Mus musculus: one gene and its partners. The protein of the gene in region 2 purifies or fractionates together with the protein of the main gene of each other region. This does not show direct contact. Links are inferred from orthologs where the notes say so. Each region holds a gene or a part of one and is shown on either strand. Other genes may lie near its edges.

Region 1 (8,546 bases), on a different chromosome or scaffold from region 2:
TCTAGAGTGACACTCACGGAACATGGCATCTAGCCTGACCAAGCAGCTGATGAAGTTATCGAAATCCATGTTCCCGCTCTCATCTGCGTAGCGCCGGATGATCATGCTGTAGAGATGCTCATTCAGGTGGAATCCTGGGAAAACAAAACAAAACAAAACAAACAAAAAACGGTTTGGTCTCAGGGCCCCAGCACACAGGCCTTCTCTTTTTTTGTTTTTTTGAGACAGGGTTTCTCTCTGTAGCCCTGGCTGTCCTGGCACTCACTTTGTAGACCAGGCTGGCCTCGAACTCAGAAATCCGCCTGCCTCTGCCTCCCAAGTGCTGAGACTAAAGGCGTGCGCCACCATGCCCGGCTTCACACAGGACTTCTCAATCTCCAGTACAGTGACGGTGTGACTTTGCTCACCCCATCCCCTGCCCATCATCACCCCCTGCCAGCACACCTGCTGCCTCAAAGGCCCCTGGAAGTTCATGGCTACCGATAGTCCCTGATCGGTCAGTATCAAAGCGTTTGTATATAGCCTAAGGATAGAAAAGACAACAGTCGGACCAAGCATCATGGAGCATGGGGTCCCCATGGCTTGGGGGATCAGATCCTGGGAGTTTCAGCGGCTACCACTTACCTGCCACTTTTTAATGTTGTTCCAGAGGTATTTGAACTCCTCAAAGCCCAGCTTGCCTGTGGTGTCGCTCTAACAAGAGGTTGTTAAGAACCAAGTGACAAAATGCAATGTGTGTGTGTGTGAATGCCAAAATGCTAACTTTTCTTTCTTCCATTCTCCCTTTTCTTTTCTTTTCTTTTCTTTTCTTTTCTTTTCTTTTTTCTTTTGGTCTTTTCACGACAAAGTTTCTCTATGCAGCTCTGGCTTTCCTGGAACTTGCTCTATAGACCAGGCTGGTCTCCAACTCAGAGATTCACCTGCCTCTGCCTCCTAAGTACTGGGATTAACCCTAATTCGTACTTTAAAAAATAAAATAAGGGCTGGAGAGATGGCTCAGGGGTTAAGAGCCCCCTCTCTTCCAGAGGTCCCAAGTTCAATTCCCAGCAACCACATGGTGGCTCATAACCATCTATAATGAGATCTGGTGGCCTCTACTGACCTACAGGCATACATGCAGGCAGAACACTGTATACATCATAAATAATACATCTTTAAAAAAAATAAAATAAGCTTAGAAGGCTAGATAGTCAGGAGTGCTTAATCTTCTTGCAAAGGACTTGGGTTTGGTTCCTACAATTCAAAACATGCAGCCCACAACCACCTGGAATTCCATCTCCAGGGGGTCCAACGTCCTCGGGCCTCTGAGAACACGTGCACGCACATGCAGACACACACACATGCACGTGAGTAAAAGTAAAATAAGCCAAGCGGGCATGGTAGCACATGCTTATAACTCTAGCACTTGAGAGGAAGATCAGGAGTTTGGCTTTGGCTACACACTGACTTCAAGGCCAGCCTAGGCTTCTTGAGACCCATCTCAAGAATCCAAAAATACTGTACAATAAAATAACTAGTAATCGGATGGTGGTGGCACACTCCTTTAATCCCAACTTGGGAGGCAGAGGTGCGCAGATCTCTGAGTTCGAGGCCAGCCAGGTCTATAGAGTAAATTCCAGGCCAGGCAAGGCAGAGAAATCCTGTTTCAAAAATCAATCAATCAATTGATCAATCAGTCAGTCAATCAATATTGCTTAAAAGTAAATAGAGAAATAAACGAAGCTTAGATTCTCAAACCAAAACTCCCAAGTCCAAATTCCTATCCTGCAATGTATTCTCTAAACGACTGTTTCTGCTATCCAAGCCTCAAGTAGCCCCAAGACTAGCTTTCAAGATCAGATATTCATGTCAGGTAAATTCTGGGCGGTTTGGCCAGAGACAAAACCACTGTGTCTCTCTGAGCCTGTTTCCTTTCCTATTACATCGTCTTTATCTAGCAAGGTATCTGTAAAGGTTGGATCCACTAATCTAGGTAAAGTTCCAGCTGTAGCAGCTGATATTATTTATGGTCACGTAGGTAAGTCTGTGTCCTCCAAGTATGAAGGCTTTCACCTTGGCCGTCCTCAACATATTCCCAGAAGACCCTCTTCACCCAAGGCATTCTCCAGGCTGGCCCCAAAAGGATACATCCATGACGGCCACCATGCTCCGACAAGTGTCAATGCCAAAACCATCAGTTTTCAGATCCGGGTCTGAGGGGGGAACAGGTTGAAGGTCAGAGGTCAGAGACCATCCCAGCCCATATGCCTCTAAACCTTCACCACACTCTGACCCTGGTCACTCACGTCGGGTCACGACCTTGTTGAGGATATTCATGAGTTCTGTGGCGCTGACCTCCATGTCCTGACGGCAGAAGGTAAGTACAGTTCAAGGGAGATGGAAAGGGTCTGGAGACCATAAACCGGGATGGGAACTTCCGGGTTGTCACAGTCAAGTGACAGAGTCAAGCGGTCAGGCAGGATACTTACGTCTCCAGCCAGCTGGACAAAAAGTTTCCTGAACTGACGGACTTCTTCACTCTCGTTGGCCTCAATATTGGAGTAATGACTACGTGGAGGCTGCAGAGAGAGGCGATCTCAGAACAGAGATGGAGAAACAAGTGTCCCAGGGAAAAGTCAGAGAGGGCTGGGCAGTCTGAGGGCCAGGGAACCTGAATTAGGTGTAGCAAGTAGGCGTGGCTGAGACCCAGGGTTTAGCTTAGGGGCCCTCAAAAAAATGACATTATTAACGGCAGGGGGTTTCCTAAGGAAGGAGGGGGAGCCTTATTCATAGGAATGGGGAAGATGAGGCGGGCAACAGGCCTGAGGAGGAAGGGTCTCTAGGTCTGCTTACCGGAGGCTCCGGGTTGTACTGCGCAGCAGCCTCGCTGAGGGGAGACAAGGGGGCTGAGTTAGCGCATGGGGGCAGAGCCTCCAACGGGCGGCAGAACGGTCAGCCAACCCCTGAAACTCCAGCCCTCCTCTTCCTTAAGGGGTTCCCTCCTCCCCTCGTCTACCTCATCGTCCTGACCTGGTCCAATCAAGAGAATGGTCTGACCCCTCCTTTCCCTCCATCGGGCCAACCTCTCCCACCTCCCAAGGGCCCACCCCACGGAAGAATCCTTTCCTTGCCCAGGAACACCCACCAATCACAATGTCAGAAGCATCTTAGCCCCAATCAAAATCCTGAAAACCTTAACAAACTTAGCAGGGCCCGCCCCTTGAAGAACTCACTTCACAAGGGGGTCTGTCTGCACCAGCTTTCCTAGGCCTCATCTTCCTCGGGTTCAGTTGTCCAGAGTCTTACTCCATCGCTCCTTTTGCAGATTATCTAACTGCCTAACGTCTACCTCTCCCGCCCCCCATCAGCCCCTACTCCTCCCAGGGATCAGTGCTTGGATCACCAACGATATAGGTGCCAGCCACCTGTTCTAACCCCAGCAAAGGATTTTTACCCACTAAACCAATCAGCTCCAGACCCCACACAACCTTCTCTGGACCATTTCTTCTTTGGGGACTCTGATCTCTCCTAAAACAGCAAGCTCCACCTCGCTCAAATCTTAAGCCATGGACAGCCTTAGATCCACTGGCTGCGCCCCCAGTGAAGGCTGGATACAATCCTATAGAATTGCACCTTCCCCAAACACAGAAGAGCCCCTATCCCCAAGAAACTGCATCCTATTTGTTGACCCACAGAAGCAGGTTTACTAATCCTGGTACTAAAAAGTGACACCAGCCTCGCTAGAATCCCCTTAGGGCCAGTTTTCCGGTATGGATCAGCCCAGACTAATTAAGAATTCTCAGGTCGGACTCTAAGTGAGTCTTTATTATTTGGCCCGCCCCGCCCCTTCAGGCCCCGCCTTACCTGATGGCGCTAATGACTCCGCCCAGGATGCGCATGGCAGTTCCACCGCCTCCGCCACCTCCTCCCAGTCCCATGCCTCCACCGCCACCGCCGCCGCCGCCAGCAGCTCCGCTGATCAGGCCTCCGAGCACATTCCCCAGGCCCCCGCCCAGACCCCCGCCTCCCCCACCGCCACCGCCGCCCTTCAAGAACGAATTCACCAAGAACATGATCGCAGCTGAGTCCTGTAAAGTAAAAGGGGTGGGTCGGGTAGTGGCCTTGCCAGGAGCCCAGCCCTTCCCGCAAAAAAAAAAAAAAAAAAAAAAAAAAAAGCAAGCATTTCCGGCAACTAGATTGGGGAGGAAACTAAGGCCTCGAGATGGGGACAGAGCCTCTAGCTAGGGGTCTGGACAGGTGATAGGAGATGTGAAACCTCCTAGGGTCTAGAAAGTACCCTGGCCCAGGCTTGACTGCATATATATAGGCATGAGGACAGGGGTACAGCTGGGCGTGCGTGGTAGCGCTCTACTGTAATCCCAGAAATTGGGAGGCTGAGGCTGGAGGACCAGTTCAAGGCCAGCCTCGGCTACAGCGCCTGCCTGCTTTACCCTGTCTTGAGGCAGCGGGAAAACAGGGGATTCTCGTGTAGAAACCCTAAGGTGTGTAAAACCGAACGTGTCTCAGATCCAGGCCTTCCAAAATTAAGCTCAGGGTAGGGATGACCCAGGGCTGACCAGGAAGTTCCTAATGTGGATTAAGACATTCAGATACTCTCGACAGAGGGACTACACTGTCACTACGGGATCTGTGGGCTCCGGCCAAAAATTATGGCTGTGCGCCCGGAGGATCCTGGATAACGGAGTTCTTCCCACCGCAAATGGGAACCACGATCTCGGATTGTGGTTCTAGACGCCCAAAATAATTTCCGGGTATCTCTCTGATCTTTGGGCTTATATTTTTTGGTCGTCAGATCCGGGATGGTAAGGAGTGTTCTGGAGGGGCTGACAGGCCCGATGGTTCGAATCTGAGAACACCGGTCCTAGGACCCCCCAAGGGCCAAGACTTTAGGGTCTCGCCAGATCTGAGGACTACGGATTCCGGATCTACAGGGTGCAGGGGTGCTGGACTGGAGTGTCCCGTCTCACTTACGGATCCGGCGGTCCGCGGTCTTGCTCGCCTGCTGCAGGGCCTCCGCTGTGTCCGGTTCGGGAGGGCGGGGCCGGTGACTCAGGCAGCTACTCCGGGTTAGACCCTGCCGCCACCCAGCCGTCGTCTGCGCGGTCCTAGAGCCTCCATTGCAGACTGCGCCTGCGCGGGAGGGTTATGGTTGCAAGTCTCTGCTTAGCTCATCCGTCCCCATACACACACTGCTGGAAATTCAACGCTGTCCAGATTAAATAGCTTTGAGTACGAATAAATTATTCTAACGCCCAGGTACTGGAGCCTCCAGGAACTAGATACAGGGTACCCGGTCACCGTTGCAGTATATAGTTGCAAAAAAGGACTTCAGTTGTCATTCATTCATTCATTCATTGTGCACTTTGAGACAGAGGTTTGTTAAACATCCTCTAAATGATGACCTAAAGCCCTAGCTAACCTCGAACTTGAAACAATCCTCCTGCTTCTGTTTCCCGAATGCTAGGAATCTACATCTTAAGTTTACCATCAGTTTGTGCCTCTCACCCAGGTCGCTGTTGGGCTTCTAGTCTGGCTGTCTGGCCACTCCCTAGGAACTATATAAACCTCGGTTTGAGTCTTTATTGCTCATCCCTAAAACAGTGACCTGGTGTCTCTGAGTAATGACCTCCTCATGTGTAAGGCGGGAACATAGCCAGGCGTGATGACACACACCTGTAAAACCAGCACTGGGAGGTGAGGGCAGGCAGCCATTCTCAGTACATAACAAGTTTGTGACCGGCTTGGGCTACATGAGACCCTAGAGGACACTAGGGTAAGCCCCTATCAGAATTAAGTGATAAATACATAGTAAATGGCAGCTCTTCTGTTAGTCCCTATGTCGCCATGTTGTTCCCTCAGCTGGGAGCTCACCTGGTTCCCTTAGCTCGTTTACTCTTGCTCATCCTTAAACAACATCGACAAATACCTGCCGGTCCCTAAATACTCTCCACTCACTAGGTTGTGTGTCCTCGAAGCAGGCCTGTGGGATAGGTCTGTTATTGTCCCCATTCTATGTATAAGTAAACTGAGGTTAAACAACCAGTCTGCTTTACCTGTTCAAAGAATCTCCGATAACTTAATATGATAATCAGTCAAATAAGATCTCAGCAGACAAGACCGTAATTGCACTAACGCCACCTAAGGGCTTGCTGGGACCAGGCCAGGTAATCATTGCTCAAACCTGTGTGTGTGTGTGTGTGTGTGTGTGTGTGTGTGTGTGTGTGTGTGTGTGTGAAGCAAGATTTAACCTGTCGAAACCGGAAACTCTAAAAGGCGGGAGCACAGAGGGTGGCGACCCAGGCCTAAGCCTTAGCGGATAAATCATTTGGTGATGACTAATGTGGATTCCCTCTCTGCCACACCCCTCCCTGCCACACTGAGCAGTCTGACCTCAGGCTCAACTCGCTGGCATAAGCCCTGTCCTCTGCCTACAAATACTCCTGTGTTTGGACTTGACTGTCTGTGTCCTCCACTTTGGACCAGAGCTCAGACATCTCTCATTTGGGAAGACCTCTTTGTCCTCACATCCACCCAAGGCTTGAAGAGGCTGCCAGCTTCATGCCCTCAGACCAACAGTAAACATGATGACACATGCCCAGGCCTCAGAAGACTCAGGCAGGCGAGCTACACCACAGGGTCTTATCTCAAAACAACGATTTAAAAATACTTAAGGGAGCCTATCGTGGTGGCACTTGTCTTTGATCCCAGCACTCAGGGGGCAGAGGCAGGGAGAACTCTGAGGCCAGCCTGGTCTACACAGTGAGTTCCAGAGGACAGACTGGGCTACATGGTGAGACCCTGTCTCAAACAAACAAAAGAAGGTTCATGGGAGTTTTGCTTGGGGATGGCTCAGGGGTCAAGAGTCTTGACTGTTCCTCCAGAGGACCCGGGTTCAGTGCTGAGCACCCACATCAAGCAGCTCCCAAGTGTCTCAAGTCCAGATCTAGGCTCCCTCTTCTGGCTCTGAAGGCGCTGGCACAAATGTACAAAGTCATGCATGCAAGCAAAACACACGTACAAACAAAAATAAAATAAAACCCATTTTTCACCATACACACTACCCAGTGTGGTCATATTGTCCTCTAATTCTGTCTCCCTGAGTCCCAGTTGCCGGCATCTGTGAGCTCTAGGTATCGTCCCTCTGTCCATTCAACTTGTGCCTGCCATCTGGTACCTCCCTGAAGTATTTTTCAGTGATTTTTGTCCCCTGTGTGTGTATATTTTGTGAGGTGGTATCATATAGCTCAGGCTAGCCTCAATCTCACTGTTTAACAGAGAATGGCTTTGAACTGATCTTCCTGCAACCACCCTAAAAGTTCTTGGGGTTACAGGAGTGTGTCTGATCCCACGTGTCTTACATATCATCTCCAGGCCACCAGCCCCCAAATCCCTATCTTCAACCTGGACAAGGCTCAGGACTCATGGCTTCTCTGTCTTGCTTTTGCTTCTTGTATGTCTGTGTCTGCCTTGTGTGTTCTGAGATTCAAACATGGATCCTCTGCTGGAGCAGCAAGTGCTCTAACCACTGTGCCTCCTCACCAGCTACTTGCTGCTGTTTACTTGTTTGCTTGTTTGCTTGCTTGCTTGCCTTTGAGACAAGCAAGGTCTTTCTGGGTGCCTGAGGCTGGCGTTGAACTCATGGCAATCCTGTTTAGCCACCTTGATGCTCTCATTACATTACAATCACACTTCACTGGTCCCAACTGTCTGCCTCCATAATGCCCCACTGTTCCACCCTGTCAGCAAGTCTAACTGGCTCCTCCTGCACTCTCAATGCTACCTCCCTCCCTGCTCACCCCCATCTCCCACCCCTTCACCTCACCTTCACCCCACCTCTAATTCCTCCCTGCCTCTAGCTGTCACCAACGCTTCCTGCCTAGTCTCTGGCCCTATAACCTGCAAACAAAGGAAGCCTGGCTCAGGCCAGATCCCATCTGTGCCTGGTACACCTCATTCCGGAAGAGTCAGAACTCCCTCCCCAGGGAGGGCCGCTCCGTGGTACAGCACAAGGCAGTGTGCATGAAGGCCTAGCACTTAAAAAAAAAAAGTTTTTCACTCAAGCCACAAGGTCTTTACTGACCTGTCCTTTCACCTCCCTGCTACTCTAAGTCAGTACAAGGTGGCTAGGCATCGCGCCGCACTCCTTTAGTCCCAGGAGGCAGAGGCAGGCTGATCTCTGCGAGCTTGAGGCTCTACCAGCAAGCTGTGTCGGGACACGGAACTCCATTCCAAGACCTCTCTTTTAGAGCTTCCTGGCAGTGAGGGAGAGGGGTCTTCTCAGATTTCTAATTAACTCCATCACACACCACTTCGTTTTCTTTCTTTCTTTTTTTTTTTTTTTTTTATGAAACAAAGTCTCATTGTGTAGCCTTGCCTGGCAGGGAACTTGCTATACAGACCAGGCGGGATTGGAATTCAAAGATTCTCTGGCCTCTGTCTCCCTCCCGGCTGCTGGGCTTAAAGGAGTGTTCTACACGAGGAGATCTCTCCACCTGGTTCTTTAATCCCAACGCTTGGGAGACAGAGAGATATGTGTATGAGCTGGA
Region 2 (8,063 bases):
TGGAGGGGAAGTTACAGGCAGGCAAATGGTGTCAGGGATCGTACCTGGAGTACCTCTGCTCTGCTGCTGTGGCTGGCCTCCACCCTATCCTACCTGCCTGGATGGCTGATACCAAACTGTCACCTCTGGGCGGTAAGAATAGGGAAAAGAGAGGTGGTGACCAGGATACCTAGAAACTGGACACCCCTTTCCAGATTCTGAGAGCCTAACAACAAGGTGGCTGAGAGTCCCAGGCACTGTAAAGGGAGCAGTGACCCATGTTTGGGGAGGAATGAGTCCAGGAGAATGTCGGCAGGCAGTTGTGTTTTATCCCTGGGAAGGCCTGCATCTCTACCAGGCCCATGTGTTCCCCAGGATGACAGAGGAGTTAATCACCCCTGTGTACTGCACCGGGGTGTCAGCCCAAGTACAGAAGAAGCGGGACAAGGAGCTGGGCTTGGGCCGCCATGAAAACGCCATCAAGTACCTGGGCCAGGATTATGAAACGCTTCGGGCAAGATGCCTGCAGAGTGGGGTCCTCTTCCAAGACGAGGCCTTCCCTCCGGTTTCTCATAGCCTGGGCTTCAAGGAACTGGGTCCTCATTCCTCTAAAACCTATGGCATCAAATGGAAGCGGCCTACGGTAAGAGGGCCACTCTGGGTGGAACTTGGTTCTGATGGTGGTGGGCAATGGGACTGGGCCCCCCCATTATTCGTGGTGTCTGGGTACCAGTTTCTAGGAGGGACTGGCCCAGGAACATGACCGTGGGTCTTGTAGGAACTGATGTCAAACCCCCAGTTCATCGTGGATGGAGCCACCCGGACAGACATCTGCCAGGGAGCACTGGGTAGGCCCCCAGGGGTGGGGTTCTGGGCGTTTGCCCCATTGTAGTTCTCCGTTCCCGTTCCATTGGGCACTGCCCCAACTCCTCCCTCCTGCAGGTCCAGACAGGTTTTGACTATCAGCATAGGTGCTGGTTCGCCCAGATTCCTGGGTCTTTTCTGTAAGCGGAGGGGAGATGAAGGGTACCCCACCCAGGGAATCCCTGGTGGCCCCCGGCATCCCACATACACAGCACCTCCCTCCCCTGGGCAGATCCGGAAAGCAAGCCTGATGAGGGTCTTTCCTATTCCAGGGGACTGTTGGCTCCTGGCTGCCATTGCCTCCCTCACCCTCAACGAGACTATTCTGCACCGAGTGGTTCCCTACGGCCAGAGCTTTCAGGATGGCTACGCTGGCATCTTTCATTTCCAGGTGAAGGTCCCTGCACCCTCCCTGGGCCAGAGGAATAGCTGACTTTAGGGAGATGGGAAAGGATGGCCCACAGCACTGTGAAGCTGAGATGGCCGGGGCCATGCCCTTCGAGGGCAGCCCTCCCTCTGGAAGGTATTTGGCCTCTCTGTGCCACCTCTGGTCAGTCATGTGTGAATGGTCAAGCAGGTATTTTCAGCTTGCAGCTCTCCTAGGTAAGGTTGTGCTTAGCAGAGAAAGTGTGGAAGAAGTGCTTTGGCTTTTTGCCCCAGCCTCAGTTTCCCCATCTTCACCTGTCAGTTCACCCTTTTCCCAGTTTCCCAGACTTGGCAAACCTGACAGAGTGTAGAGGAAAAGACAGACATGGCGTTTAAACACCATTCCCTGATGTTTCTGACAGGGCCCACGTTTCAAGTTACATTAGTGAATTCTCCAGGAGCTAGTGTTGAGAGTCACACCCCAAAAGTCTTGGTTGAGGCCTTTTCTACCATGATGATCCCAGTCATGCCTGAAGGGGGTCTCTGTGTTCCTTCCTTCTGCCTAATTTGGTCCCACTACCTCACTCTGCCCACGCCAGAAGAAATGGCAGCTATTATTCTATGCTGAGTGCCCCAACCAAGACAGCTCTGTCACCCTTTTCCCTACCCCCTTTCCTCAAATCTCCAATCTACTCCTCTTCCAGCTTCTATTTGGCACAGTCAGTGCCGCTTCCCAAATCCTTCAGTGATCCTCTTACCTCATCATTCTGGGCTTCTCCCTGCAACAATTTTTGGTGTTTTCCGAAGCTTCTGTCCCTAGGCAGCCTAGGCCTGCATCCCTGGAGCAAATCTGGTGCATTTGGAACCAGCCTGCCCATCTGTGGTTGAGGGTCTGGGCACAACATTGTCTTTCCACATCTCCCACTTACTTCTATACTCAGGCTTAAAATAAGGAAGCAAGGGGCTGTGAAGCTGAGATGGCCGGGGCTACGCCCTGTGCGGACAGCCCTCCCTCCGGAAGGTATTTGGCCCCTCTGTGCTAAGAGCACTAGAAGCTCTTTCAGGGTTCCTGAGTTCAATTTCAGCAACCTCGTGGTGCCTCACAACCAACTATAATGTGGTCTGATGCTCTCTTCTGTTGTACAGACTTAACAGAAAGACTCATATATAGCCGGGCGTGGTGGCTCATGCCTTTAATCCCAGCACTCGGGAGGCAGAGGCAGGCGGATTTCTGAGTTCGAGGTGGGCCTGGTCTACAGAGTGAGTTCCAGGACAGCCAGGGCTACACAGAGAAACCCTGTCTCAAAAACCAAAACAAACAAACAAACAAACAAACAAACAAAAAAGACTTATATACATAAATTAAAAAAAAATAGGAAGGCAAGTAAGAGGGGCAGGACCTAGGGTTGCTTTGAGGAGGAACATGGACTGGAGGCCTTCTTGCCCTTGCCCTCTCCCATATCTGAAGGCGAGCCTTGTTCTGACTTGTTCATCTAAAAATTCTAATTCCATTTATTTATAACGTGTGTGCGCGTGTGCGTGTGTTGATGGGGATTAACAGTGTGTCTGTGTAAAGGGCAGAGGATGACTTGTAGGGCCAGCTCTTCCCTTCCATCCTGTGGATCCGAGGACTGCACTCTAGTTCTGAGGCTTAGAGGCTAACAGCTAGACCCCCAGGCACCCCCAGAACCACTGACACGGTCCAGATCTGGTTTTGTGGTATTGTTTTGTTTTTCAGACATAGTCTTACTGGCTGTCCTGGAACTTCCTGTGTAGATCAGGTTTTCTTTGAACTCATAGAGATTACCTCCTGAGTGCTGAGACACCTTTAGGTGTCTATAGTTGTGGTGCCCTGGGCTGAGTGACTGTACACTCTAGAAGACAAGAGGCATGCCTGTAAGAATGTGTGTGTGCGCGATACGTGTGTGTGTGTGTGTGTGTGTGTGTGTGTGTGTGTGTTACACATGTACCCAGCATACAGATCGAGACTCGTGCATTTAGTAAGTCCAGCTGAAGCTGGAGAGGAGGCCTGGGACCCAGGGCAGGGGCTAACTTTGTCCCTTTCCCACAGCTGTGGCAGTTTGGGGACCAGGCCCAGGGCAAGGGCTGACTTTGTCCCTCCCACAGCTGTGGCAGTTTGGGGACCAGGCCCAGGGCAGGGGCTGACTTTGTCCCTCCCACAGCTGTGGCAGTTCGGGGAGTGGGTCGACGTGGTCATAGATGACTTGCTGCCCACCAAGGACGGGAAGCTGGTGTTCGTGCACTCTGCCCAGGGCAACGAATTCTGGAGCGCACTGCTGGAGAAAGCCTATGCTAAGTGAGTAGGATCCCCAGGGCACATCTTCGGTCTCTGGGGGTGGAGAGGTTGTCCTGGCCCTCTTACCCGGTCCTCCTTGATGATGCTACTAACCGACCTGGAGCTGCCCACAGAGTGAATGGCAGCTATGAGGCTCTTTCGGGAGGCTGCACCTCAGAGGCCTTCGAGGACTTTACCGGTGGGGTCACTGAGTGGTACGACCTGCAGAAGGCCCCCAGCGACCTCTACCAGATCATTCTAAAGGCCCTGGAACGAGGCTCCTTGCTGGGCTGCTCCATTAATGTGAGTGATGTCTAAGTTCCTCTGACAAACCCTAATCTCATCTTCAGCGCACCACTCGCCCCCTCCTCAGCTCATTTCCGGCTGGGGATGAGCCCCGCCCATCACCTCCTCGAATACTCCATGTTCCTCACTTCTTCCTTCAAATCTCAGCGGTGCCCCAGCTCCTCAGCTCCCTCCTGCTCCCTCCCTTCTCATTCTTGTCTGTTTGTCTGTTTGTTTGTTTTTATTTACTGTGCATTGGTGCTTTTCCTGTATGTATGTCTGTGTGAAGGTGTCAAGTCCCTGGAACTGGAATTACAGACAGCTGTGTGCTGCCGTGTGGGTGCTGGGTATTGAACCTGGGACCTCTGGGAGAGCAGCCAGTGCACTTAACATTGAGCCATTTCTTTAGGCAGCACATATACTACAATTGGAACAATATGGAGTAGATTAGCCAGGCCTTCATTCTTATGACCTTCCCGTGTTCCAAGGCTCTCCCAGTCCAGTGCTTCAGCCTTCTGATGCAATCTCTTTCCTATTCTTGACTTCACCCACGCCTGGCTCCTTCTCCTTTCCTTTCTCCTTGCTTACCGTTGTCTGGCCCACAATTCCCACAGTCACTTCTAGCCCTCCCTAGCCCCGTGCTTGGTCATTCCACACCAGCATCCTGGCTATCCTTGGCCACACAATGCTATGGAGCCCAACACAAAATCTCAGAATCTTACTTAAAACATGAGATCTTAAAATCTGTGAATTGACTGAGCCATCCCCAAGTGTGAACTCTGTGAATGGCAGTGCCTTGCTACAATGTCTCAGGGTTGGAGAGATGGCTTAGTGGTTAAGAGCTTGTACTGCTCTTAAAGAAAACCCAAGTTCGGTTCTCAGCTCCCGCCCACATCAGGTAACTCAGGACGTGCCTGGGATTCCCACCCCAGGAGGATCTGATGCCTCTGGCTGCTAAGGGTATCTGTACTCGCATGCACACAGCAATACAGAGAGAGTTAGAGTTAGAGTCGCATACAGAGAGAGTTAGAGCCAACTAGAAAAGAAGCTTTTAAAATAACTTCCTTATTTTTATTTTATGAGCATTTGATTGGCATTTCACCTGCACACATGTCTGTGTGTGGGTATTGAATCCTCTGAAACTGGAGTTACAGACAGTTGTGAGCTGCCATGTGGGTGCTGGGAATTGAACCTAGGTCCTCTGGAAGAACAGCCAATGTTCTTTTTTTTTTTTTTTTTTTAAGATTTATTTATTTATTATATGTAAGTACACTGTAGCTGTCTTCAGACACTCCAGAAGAGGGAGTCAGATCTTATTACGGATGGTTGTGAGCCACCATGTGGTTGCTGGGATTTGAACTCCGGACCTTCGGAAGAGCAGTCGGGTGCTCTTACCCACTGAGCCATCTCACCAGCCTGCAGCCAATGTTCTTAACGTAGCCATCTCTCCAGCCCCTAAACTAAACTTTTTTTAAAAGGGCTATTTGACCCCGCAAGTTTAGCCCCACTGGATCTGTCCTTCTCTTTCCCCTGTTTGTCCCCTGGCTGAGTCCCCCTTGGAGGGTTTGCTTGATTATAAGTGTGTGTATATATGCACACTCACAGTCTGGCCAGCCCTTGCCAGCAGCAGTATAGCGAGAGCATTGATTGGGGAGGTATCTAGGCTCTGCCCTGCTCCCCAGAAGGAACGGCATTTGTGTAACAATGGAGTGGTTAGGTGAGGAGTGTCTAAAAGTTTCTTCGATCAGCTTTTGTGGGGGTTGTGTGTGCAAGGGGACAAGGGGTACGGCCTGAGCCTCATATATGCTCCAAGCAGGGATGGCACCTCATCTTCTGACCACAGTGCACGTTTCTTTCCGTAGATCTCCGATATCCGTGATTTAGAGGCTATTACTTTTAAGAACCTGGTGAGGGGCCATGCGTACTCTGTGACGGGCGCCAAGCAGGTATTTACCGGGATGGGACCTGCCCTGCAGTGTGGTTCCTACTTCCAAGCCTCCCCGGCATCTGACCTGGGCTGTGGGAAGTGATGTCTCCTTTTCTGACCTCCTGGGATAACCATCGGGTGGTATGTGTTAATGCTATGCCTAGTGCCTCCAGTTCATTTGTACAGCTGCCTCACTGGGCTGTGAATTGCTGGAGGACTGGCTTAGGGGGTATGGACTGTGTTGCCCTGGTGTTGCTGGGTAGGAAGCAGGGTGAAGATGTGAAGACGGAGGTCCGGGAAGGGACGTCCAAGGTCATGACACTGATGCACACTTTTGGGAACAGGTAACTTACCAGGGCCAGCGGGTGAACCTAATCCGGATGCGGAACCCCTGGGGTGAAGTGGAGTGGAAAGGACCCTGGAGTGACAGGTAAGTCACAGGGAGGTTGGGGGAAGCCTGGAGATGTCCTGGACACTCCTGCCTGGGCCCCGGCAGGCTGGGTGTACACTCAGAGTTGAGGAAAGGGGTCACATCTTGGGAGTTTGCCCTGACAGAGCCCACCAAGGCTGTGGGCACTGGGGCAACCTGTGGAGACACCCAGGGCATCAAGGTCTGACTTGACCTTGATAAACATAACCCTGGCTGGATGTGGTGGTTTCTGCTTGTAATGTTCAGAAAGCTGAGGCAGGAGGACCAATACAAATTTGGGGTCAGCCTGGGCTGCACAGTGAGGTCCCGCTCAACCAAGGCTACCTAGTCTTAAAGGAGGTAGGAACGTGGTGGCGTATACCTTTAATCTCAGCGGAGATCGGCAGATCTCTGTGAGTTTGCCATCAGCATGATCTACGTACAGGGTTCCAAGCCAGCCAGGGCTATTATAGAGCAGGGCCCTGATGCCAAAAAAAGGCAAGCAAAAACAAGAAGTGTGGCGGTGCCTGGAGAAAAGTGGGCCAGCGGTGAAGAGCTTGTACTAGCCTACAGGAAAGGCCTGAAGTTGGGTCCCAGCGCCCACCGTAGGAGGCCACAGCTGCAGGGGGTCTAACACCCTCTCGTGGCCTCCACAAGCATGCGCACGCCCATACGCGCACACAATTTTAAAAGTAAAAATTGGCTAGGCCTTTAATCTAAGCTTTTTTTTTTTTTTTTTGTTTTTTCGAGACAGGGTTTCTCTGTATAGCCCTGGCTGTCCTGGAGCTCACTTTGTAGACCAGGCTGGCCTCAAACTCAGAAATCCGCCTGCCTCTGCCTCCCGAGTGCTGGAATTAAAGGCGTGCGCCACCACGCCCGGCTTAATCTAAGCTTTTAGGATGCGTAGACAGGTGTATCTCCATGAGTTCAAATCCAGCTAGTGAGACCCTGTCCCCAAAAAGAAGAGGGACCTTTAAATGGGGATCTCTAAGGACCTCAAGAGGTGGCCCTAGAGAAAGCCTGCTGATCTGGGCTCTGAAACACGCCAGGTTGGACAGGACCCAGGGACAGAAGTTAGATAGGTCCGTGGTGTCCAACCCTAGCAGTGCCTGCTTCCCACAGCTCCTATGAGTGGAACAAAGTGGACCCCTATGAACGAGAGCAGCTGAGGGTCAAGATGGAGGATGGGGAGTTCTGGTAAGCAACACTATTTTCCCCCCTTGCTCCCCTAAAACCCAGTTCATGATGGAGGACTGTGGTTCACCTCTGCCCTTGGGCCCTCAGGATGTCGTTCCGAGACTTCATCCGTGAATTCACCAAACTGGAAATCTGCAACCTTACACCGGACGCCCTTAAGAGCAGGACCCTCCGGAATTGGAATACCACATTTTACGAGGGCACCTGGCGTCGGGGAAGCACCGCTGGAGGCTGCAGGAACTACCCAGGTGAGTGGTTGGGAGACAGGGCAGGGGGGTGAGCAGGGCCACCTGGCTGAGCCTGTTGTGTTCCTTGGGAGACAAATAGTCATGATTGAATGCTGCTTATCTTTATGGATGGTAATAAAGGGGCTTGCTAGACTGTCTGGGGCCCGGGGAAGAAAGCCTTGTTGTTTATCCAAACACCTGCCCATTCATTCCAGCACCTTCTTACCCACTGACCCGCTGTCCGCCTACCTTCCCCTCTCACAAATGGTGACTGTCACTACTGTGGAATGGCCTCTCTATGCCCCCACCCCCAGCTCCCCTCAACTTTTTTCTGTACTCCAGCTCTACTCTGCCCCACTGAAAAGAATTCTGGGCCTGTCACACTCACTGCCCCTGCCCAGGCCTCAGCCCACGGAATTAACCGACCTGCTGACACCTCCCATTTTAATTACTCTCTCATTTGGCTCTCTGTCTGTCTGTCTGTCTGTCTGTCTCTCTGTCTCCCCCTCTGTT
Region 3 (8,063 bases), on a different chromosome or scaffold from region 2:
CTTTCTTGCAAAGTTTTTCTGAATAGGACTGAAATCAATACCTCTTTCTCACTTTGCTTTCCAGTTGGAGAACTACAGGTGAAATCAGATGACAAGGCATCTATAGCCTGGTCAGTCCCCATAGGTTTCTAGAGAAAAGAGCACAGGGTAACACCTGAGAGTCCAGCAAAAAACCACTCTCTTCATTCCTTAGATACCAAATGAGAAATGCTACTGAGATAAGTCCTGTTTGGAAAGGGTGGGTTCTTTTCCTCCTTTTCCTTCTTCCAAAGGAGTTACATGTGGTTATATGTGCTCATACTAATAATAATTATTAGTATTTACTATATCCTTCTATCCTATTATCTCCACCTCCATATTATATATGGCCAAGGACAGAGAAATAGGCCCATGCCTTCTACTATGCTTTCATAGGATTCTTTTCATTTGCGTTTTAGAGATTAGAGATTGAATCCAGAGCCTCATGCACACTAGGCAAGTAAGTAGTTTGCCACCCAGATATCTGAGATATATCCCCGGTTTACTTTTTAATTTGAGAAAGGGTATAAATTATCCAGACTGGCCTTAAACTCAGCTTTCTACATAACTGGATTACAGGACTGTTCCACCAAACCCAGTTTGGTACTGGTAGTTCTATGTCCCCAAACAAAGAACAGTGTTGATACAGATCTTAAAAGACATGTATACAAACTCACAGGAGAGTCTGGAAGAGGTTGTGTGATCCCTTCATTTTTCTGAAACAAAAATGGAAGAAATTAAGAAGGAAAGATTAATTCTTCTGATTTGACAAAATGTATTCTCAGTCATTCATGAGCTAAATTGTGTATTCTCGCACTCACATGCTGAAGTCATGAAGAACCCTAGAATGGTAATTTATATGAATATAGGGCCTCTATGTAAGGAATTCATTAAAGCAAGGTCATTAGTGGGAATCCTTATATGGAACTAATATCCTTATGAAGAGAACACATTTCGTACCAGAGGAAAACCTAGAGGAAAGGAGATGTGAAAGGATCCAGGGAGAAGATACCCATCTACCAGCCTTGTCAACAGGCTAGAGAGCTACCCCTCTGAGCACTTGAAAGGAGCCAGCTGTTTCCACACCATAATTATGATTTCCATAAAAACCAGACAATACCTTTCTCTTAGTTAAACTATCAAGTCTGTAGTACATTGTCAGAGAAGTTCTAAAGGATAACACACAGAGGGTACTTCTCAATAATAACAACTGTATGTGCCCCACTGCATATTCTAAACTTTGATATTGTTACAGAATTGTCTTCCAAGAAGGAAATGGTAAAATAAAAATGAAAGATAACTTACTTCCAAAAGTTTCCTATACTCTGGAGGAATAGTCCCTTCTTTTATACCCAGTGCCTCAAGGTAGGTAGAATACATTGGGTCCTGGAAGAAAATCATACATAAAGACATATTATACAGTTAATCTAATGAGACTATTAAGTGAAGCCAAAGTACTATTCCAGTATTGATTTTTCTGTATCTATTGAGATGAAAATAAATCATTTAGAAGCTAAAATCTATCCTTAAAGTTCTACTTGCATACTAACAATTATTTAATTAGCTTTAGAGATAGCATCTGCACTTTAAGTCTATCATCTCTATCATTTTCTATTGAATTACCTTTTCTCAGTATTTTTTTATTTTTCATAAACTGTAGAAGTAAATGCTTTGTAACTTTAAAAAATATTTTCATTTATCCTGTGGTTTATTTTTAATACTGTGGTACATGTAATTTTATCACTGAATTCAAGCTGAAGAGGAGACTATATATATATGTGTGTATATATATATATTTTTTTTGTTGTTGTTGTTTTCAAGACAGGGTTTCTCTGTGTAGTCCTGGCTGTCCTGGAACTCACTTTGTAGACCAGGCTGGCCTCGAACTCAGAAATCCTCCTGCCTCTGCCTCCCAAGTGCTGAGATTAAAGGCGTGCACCACCACCACCCGGCTGAGAATATTTTAATATTTAAAAATATTGCAAATGTAGAAATGTATAAGCAAAATATATTATAACTTTGCATGTTTTCAAAAGCTATATAAATAGTATCATTTTGTTGCTCTTGTTTATTTTATTCAAAATCATGGCTTTGTAATAGATCCATGTAGATACATAAGTAAGCCATTTTCCTTTCAGAAAGCACTGAAAGCTCCCTATTTTCTATTGATCACATTCCTATTTTCTATTGATCACATTGGTCTCAAGTGTTCTGCCATATCCTTCGCTGTACACAGGGGCAAGATTTCCAAAGTCTCGCTGGTGGGGTTTGTGACTGAACGGAACACCTCTTTAGAACCTAATGCCTAAATTGACCTGTCAGATTCTTAAAGTTTTGGCAGTCTGGTTGAGCCAAAGGCACCACGCCATGCTTTATGCTATTTTCCTAATTCCCTGGTAGACCCTTACACTATTTGCTCATTGTGCAAGCAACTTTCTCTTAATTTTCTACTGAGTTGTCTTTGTCTCTGTTTTTCTATTTATTGTAAACTATAGAAACAACTTTAATGGCAACTGTTGAAAATGTTTTCATCTATGCTACAACATCTTTAACACCAGAAAAAAAATTACATTGTTCCTTGGAAATGAAGAATAGATTAACTTAGGATCATAAGGATCTAAAACTCAAAATAAGTTCAAGTCCACTGCGTCAAATCTAAAGGACAGAAAACTAGATGTTCTGACCGAGTCAGCTGTTCCAGTTTAGCATTGTCAGACATATTCTGAATCATAGCAACTGTGTAGTGTCACAAAGCAGACCATTTCCACCCTCACCCCCGAGTTTTTGTTTCTAATATCAATTCTGACATCATCCTGCGTCTACATAATCAACAGAACATGACATGCAGTCCTATGCTTGATACCATAGGTTTATTTGCTTTCCTCCCCATTAACAATGAATGCTGACTGTCATCCAACACATACCAAAACTACTGGTCCAGTATATGGTGGATCATCTCTGTTAGTATCTTCATGTCCACCTAAGGTGTCTATCAGGTCATCCAAGGCAGCATCCATGCCTGACTAGAAATAGAAGAGATAAGATATGTTATTTTGTAGATATATTTCCCGTGATTTGTAACTACTAAAATGTATCAAATACTGTAACTTTTCCAAGTTCAAAAATAGTTAAACTGTATTTCATTTTTAATATGAAGAAATTCTCAATTGGAAAAATAAAAAGCCACATTCAGGTAAAGATCACCATTTAAAAAAATTCCACATTATTAACTACAGCAACAAATGTAGTAGTTCACAAAAGCAACCAAACCACTGTACTGACAGTCAAGAGGAAAAAGACAAAAAAAATGCAAGGATTAGCCATGTGGCACTTGTTGCTTTTTAGTATCACCCATAGTTTCATTCTAGCAAAATCTGTAGACAGTACTTCCTTCAAAAAGAAGCTATTGTTTTTTTTTTTAATTCTTGTATTTTTCCATTCTTTAATGAACATTGTTGTTGTTCATTGACTTGCTCAAAGACAACCCTGAAGAGATATTATGTGAGGTCAACCCTAAAGACATATGAATTGCCAGTTTAGTTTGCCAACATATACTTAACATATTAATGAGAAGTTGCTGTCACCTTATTCTGTAGTTTTGGATAGCTCACTCGGAACAGGCTCCTAACATGGAAAACAGCCACTGTCTTCTCACCTTGGGCATCTTTTCTGCTGTTTCCAATAGCACAGACTCTGTATGTTCCTGACTTATGACCTGTACGGCACTTACTCCACACGTCAAAGTGTCACTGAATATGTCTGACGGTTTCCTTTAAGAATTACCACACTGTATATGCCCCAGTACAGGGGAACGCCAGGGCCAAAAAAAATGGGAATGGGTGGGTAGGGAAGTGGGTTGGGGAGGGTATGGGGGACTTTTGGGATAGCATTGGAAATGTAATTGAGGAAAATATGTAATAATAAAAAAAAAAGAATTACCACAATCCTACAATAGTTTTAGGATTTAGCGGATTACTGATAGGTGTAACAGAAACTAGGGCACATTTGCTTTGGCTACTCTTCCCCTTCTTATTATTATTGTGGTTTCTTGTGGAAGAGGGGATAGATTTTTTTTTAAAGTACCTTATATTCTTTACCAATAGAGAGGTAATACAGAATACTTAGACAACCCTTGATGTCCCCACTCTAAAACCAAGAGACTTGCCAAGCCTCAAGAAACCTTGCACGTTGCTAACAAACACATATTTCCAGAAGAGAAGCTATAACTGAACTTGGTATAATAAAACTAGAATTTTCAAAATAGAGGCTCGTACCATAAAATGGTACGAATACAGAGTGATGGCCACACTGTCAACTCAGTCATAACTTTTTAAATTTTAAGTCATTACATTTTTCCTTTAAAACAACGAGAAATCAGGCTGAGACAGGCAACAGGAGATAAATGTTTGATGATGAAGTGCCTTTTGGCTCCATACCTTGTCAGATGGCTTGCTCGGTGTGGACTGCACAGGTGAAGCTGGTGTGAATGGTTTCTGTTCTTTTTTCTAGAGGGAGTTTAAAAGGACTTTAAAACTTTTCATACACCTTTATGAAACAGCATTATGACACACACATTCAAGATGAACTATTCATGTATTAATAGCCTAGATCATGTACTAGTCCCATGATCAACTGTGGACGGTAATGGCAAATGCTTCAAAACTACTACATACATTAAGCCTGTTTAGTGACAGGAAAGAGAAGCTTAGAGAGATCCGGCTCATGGAGGAAAATAAAGTGATAGATTGGTTTAAGTACATAATAAGTCCAAGGAAAGATATGAAGAAGGCAATTAAAATGTTGTTTGGTATATGGAAAAGATGGAGGTTGAAGAGAAGGGAGAAGAGGGGAGGGAAGGGAGGCAGAAGAGGCTAGGAAGGGAAAGATGGAGAGGAGAATAGGAAGGAAAGTAGTGGAGATGAGGTGACTCCCTGGGTTACAGAGGAAGGGATAAAACCCTGATCTGCACCAGGATTGCCTGGCCACCATACTTGTCCCGGGCCTTGAAAGCCTACAAGTTGTTTCTGAGGTAGCTTCTGTTCCCTGCGTCTTTGTTTCTGCTCACCAGGACAACTGTGTCACTTGCCTTGGTAGCTCATTGTTCTTTCCTTGATTCTTCTCATATATTTTCTCCTTTGGCTATAAATTACGGCAGTTCCTGCAGCTGCTAACTTTCCAACCTGCAACCGTCCTGCGTCTGTCCACACATAATCTCTGACGATGACCATGGGGAGCATCACTGTGTCACCTCTTATCTCCCACACTTGCCACAGCAAAGCAGCATTCAGATTCTGCCCTTGTCATGCCACCCTGTGCTTCTCTTCTTCTGCTTCCAGTAGCACGTACTCTGTATATTCCCGACTTATGATGGTGTTCTATGCCAAATCCTCTAGGGTCAGGGACTCTTGGCAGGAATTATATTGGTTAGGTTATTTCATTTAGGACCTTCCTGGGCCATGGATCATTTGCACATATCAACTCAGGCAGCAGATCTCAGCCTGCCTGAATCTGTATACCAGCCGTGACATACACAGGTGCTTCCGAATTATAAATTATAAATCACTTCCCCTGTCCCTTGTTTTCATAGTGATATGAGGACAATGATGGTACCTAGGGGTTGTGAAGGTTATGTTAATGTTTAATACTTAGTATGATGTAAGCACTTGCTATATAATTAAATACCAAATTAACAACTGCTATGACTTTGGTGCTAAGAACACGGTGCCAGGTACAAGCCAGAACCCCTTCCTAGAGAGTTAACTGCCCCCTTGTGTAGTTGTGTGCACACTCACAACTCTTCCCCCTCCCTCTTCCTGTCTCATCTTTTCCTTTCTCTCTATCTCCTCTATCTCCATTCCCTCCTCTCTCTCCCACTTCCTCCCTTTTTCAGTGCACCACACAATATATTAATTACTTTGCTACATGCCTTTTCTTAAGCCTGCCAAACATTTAAATTCAGTCTAGCCCTAATTAGGCATAGCCCATTCTTCATATATATCCTATAAGCTTCTGTTGATCTTTCAAAGTAACCAGAGGTCGAGCACAGTGCTGTAAATCTGCCACTCCACTTCTAAGCAGGCACTTGGTCTCAGTGCTGACCCTGTGCTTGGATCACAGAATGAGCCCCTCCAAAAGCCTGGCACTGTGGCATCTATCTTGTCTTGCTTCACTGTTATCAGCCTACTCATGCCATATTCTGAAGCCCCAGCACATTGTACATTTTCTTTACCTCTGCCCTACTCAGCCAACACCTTCTGAAAGCTGAATGTTTTGTCTCTGCTATAACTTTGAATAGCTCTCCTCTTTTCTTCTACTATAGCTCTAAGTTAGCCACATAATGGCTCACCAGCACCATCGAAACAGCCCTACGCCACCTCACCTTCCTGCCACTACCCACAAGCTCCTACAGCATTCTCCCCAGCAGCCTTAACCTGTCTTTCTAGTCTTACAGCCAGCAACCTCTGGACTCTGCTTTCTGACACTGGAATGTGCCTGTGATCAGACCTCATCTGAAACTGCTCAACATCTCAAAGTGTTTGCAAGCCTGGAATCCCAGCTGCCCTACATCAAAGGGGAGGTCGCTCAGCTCCGGCTCTCACTCCTGCTCCTGCTGCTGCTCCACTCCCGCTCCCTGTCTCTCTCACAGTCCTGTGAATCCCCTGCCTCAGATGGAATTTACCTTTTCTCATAAAATGTTTCTCTACACGGACACTTTCCTTAATCTGGCCAGCACATAGTACACTCAACTATAATGCTTCAAACCTGCCAAATCCTAAAATAAGTCAGGTTTGATTAGTCCTAATGAGATGGGTATAAATCACTAGTAAAGTAAAATAAAATAATTATGGAAAGTCCAGAATCAAGCCAATGAATAACAGAATTCCAGGTAACCTTTTGTCATGTGGATCATTTAGCTTTTACTGATAACATGGGCTAGTTAATTGCTAACCTCAAACCTCAGATTTTGAATATACTTTAAAAGTTTGTGTTATAACATATCTAGTTAAATCTATTTTTCAAAGTAGTTCATATAAATACACACTTGGTGTTTCCAGGCTGATGGTTAGGTCCTGAGATAACAGACAAGTAACCCATCACAAAACCCTTCCTTCACATGTGAGCATTTCTATGTAAAAAGTTTTTATGAATTTTGTTAAAATAATGTGTCTGGAATCCCAAGATCCAAGAAATCAGTATGTTTCAAGGGACTTTTACCTTTTTCTGCGACTTTCTGCACACTCCCAGACTGGCATCTGAAGCTCCTCCAGTGCGGGGTTTCTGGGACTGGGCAACACATCTAGAATCATGCTAGCAACTCACACCATTGCTGTGATTGTGACTTAATGTCAAGGTTGCTGTTGTGAGCATTCAAAGCTGAGCGTAATGCCTACTCAAGCACTCATGTAAGTTTTACGTTTTTGATTTCATACCTGTGAACCTGGACGGCAAGGCCTGAACCAACTTACATTTTAATTACTTTGGCATTGATATCAGGCCTTCGAAGCCAGTTGCCCAATAAGTATTTACTAGATATACACATTTCAAAATTATTTTAGTATTTTTCTCACTTTAAGTTCCCAAAACATGAGCTTTTTCACAAAAATACACACAAACTGTATCCATTGTTTCTGAATGTCGGGTTGTCCGATATGGGCTTCTTAGAACCAGAGCCTCATAAGCAGAGAAGTTCATGTTATGTCTGTATATGTATGCTCACCTTACCAACCACTTTGTCCAAGGCAGTGGCCACAGTCCCACCTCCAGCCACACTCTCTCCACCAGCTGAAGGAACATCTTGAAATTTTGTCTGAGAGCAGAGATAGAAGAGTGACAGGACTAAGTATCTTTGACTGTGGCCAAGATCATGAGTTTCCAAATGTCACCAACACCTGCTAGTTTGTTCTCATGAAATCACTGTGGAGAGAGTTTGCTAGCTTCCTCTGCATGTAATGCAAAGTTGTGCACAATATAGGGCAGATCTCAAGAGCCTACAGAGTCCATTTAGGTCACACAGATGTGAAAACACCATTATACCTGGCCAATGA

The links.
Region 1: the proteins of Capn1 (region 2) and Capns1 purify together in Homo sapiens (co-immunoprecipitation; 4 studies listed by BioGRID and IntAct, counting the BioPlex papers as one, with this or other methods). This does not show direct contact. The link is inferred for Mus musculus from reciprocal best matches to the Homo sapiens genes CAPN1 and CAPNS1.
Region 3: the proteins of Capn1 (region 2) and Cast purify together in Homo sapiens (co-immunoprecipitation; 4 studies listed by BioGRID and IntAct, counting the BioPlex papers as one, with this or other methods). This does not show direct contact. The link is inferred for Mus musculus from reciprocal best matches to the Homo sapiens genes CAPN1 and CAST.

Annotation. Positions count from the first base shown.
Region 1 is NC_000073.6:30,190,035-30,198,580, forward strand, and holds the start of Capns1 (calpain small subunit 1), read right to left. Parts: upstream 5,120-8,546; 5' UTR 4,972-5,119; intron 4,068-4,971; 5' UTR 4,053-4,067; coding exon 3,844-4,052; intron 3,715-3,843; exon of another isoform or gene 3,213-3,714; intron 3,167-3,212; exon of another isoform or gene 3,054-3,166; coding exon of another isoform or gene 3,010-3,053; intron 2,867-3,009; coding exon 2,833-2,866; intron 2,559-2,832; coding exon 2,469-2,558; intron 2,344-2,468; coding exon 2,286-2,343; intron 2,193-2,285; coding exon 2,128-2,192; intron 694-2,127; coding exon 625-693; intron 524-624; coding exon 445-523; intron 135-444; coding exon 18-134; intron 1-17. UniProt on the Homo sapiens protein: Regulatory subunit of the calcium-regulated non-lysosomal thiol-protease which catalyzes limited proteolysis of substrates involved in cytoskeletal remodeling and signal transduction. Essential for embryonic development.
Region 2 is NC_000085.6:6,006,760-6,014,822, reverse strand, and holds part of Capn1 (calpain-1 catalytic subunit), read left to right. Parts: intron 1-354; 5' UTR 355-355; coding exon 356-622; intron 623-757; coding exon 758-827; intron 828-1,115; coding exon 1,116-1,234; intron 1,235-2,138; exon of another isoform or gene 2,139-2,203; intron 2,204-3,392; coding exon 3,393-3,526; intron 3,527-3,639; coding exon 3,640-3,808; intron 3,809-5,652; coding exon 5,653-5,736; intron 5,737-6,061; coding exon 6,062-6,147; intron 6,148-7,248; coding exon 7,249-7,323; intron 7,324-7,410; coding exon 7,411-7,571; intron 7,572-8,063. UniProt on the Homo sapiens protein: Calcium-regulated non-lysosomal thiol-protease which catalyzes limited proteolysis of substrates involved in cytoskeletal remodeling and signal transduction. Proteolytically cleaves CTBP1 at 'Asn-375', 'Gly-387' and 'His-409'.
Region 3 is NC_000079.6:74,736,895-74,744,957, forward strand, and holds part of Cast (calpastatin), read right to left. Parts: intron 7,826-8,063; coding exon 7,736-7,825; intron 4,524-7,735; coding exon 4,455-4,523; intron 3,042-4,454; coding exon 2,943-3,041; intron 1,405-2,942; coding exon 1,324-1,404; intron 735-1,323; coding exon 696-734; intron 129-695; coding exon 42-128; intron 1-41.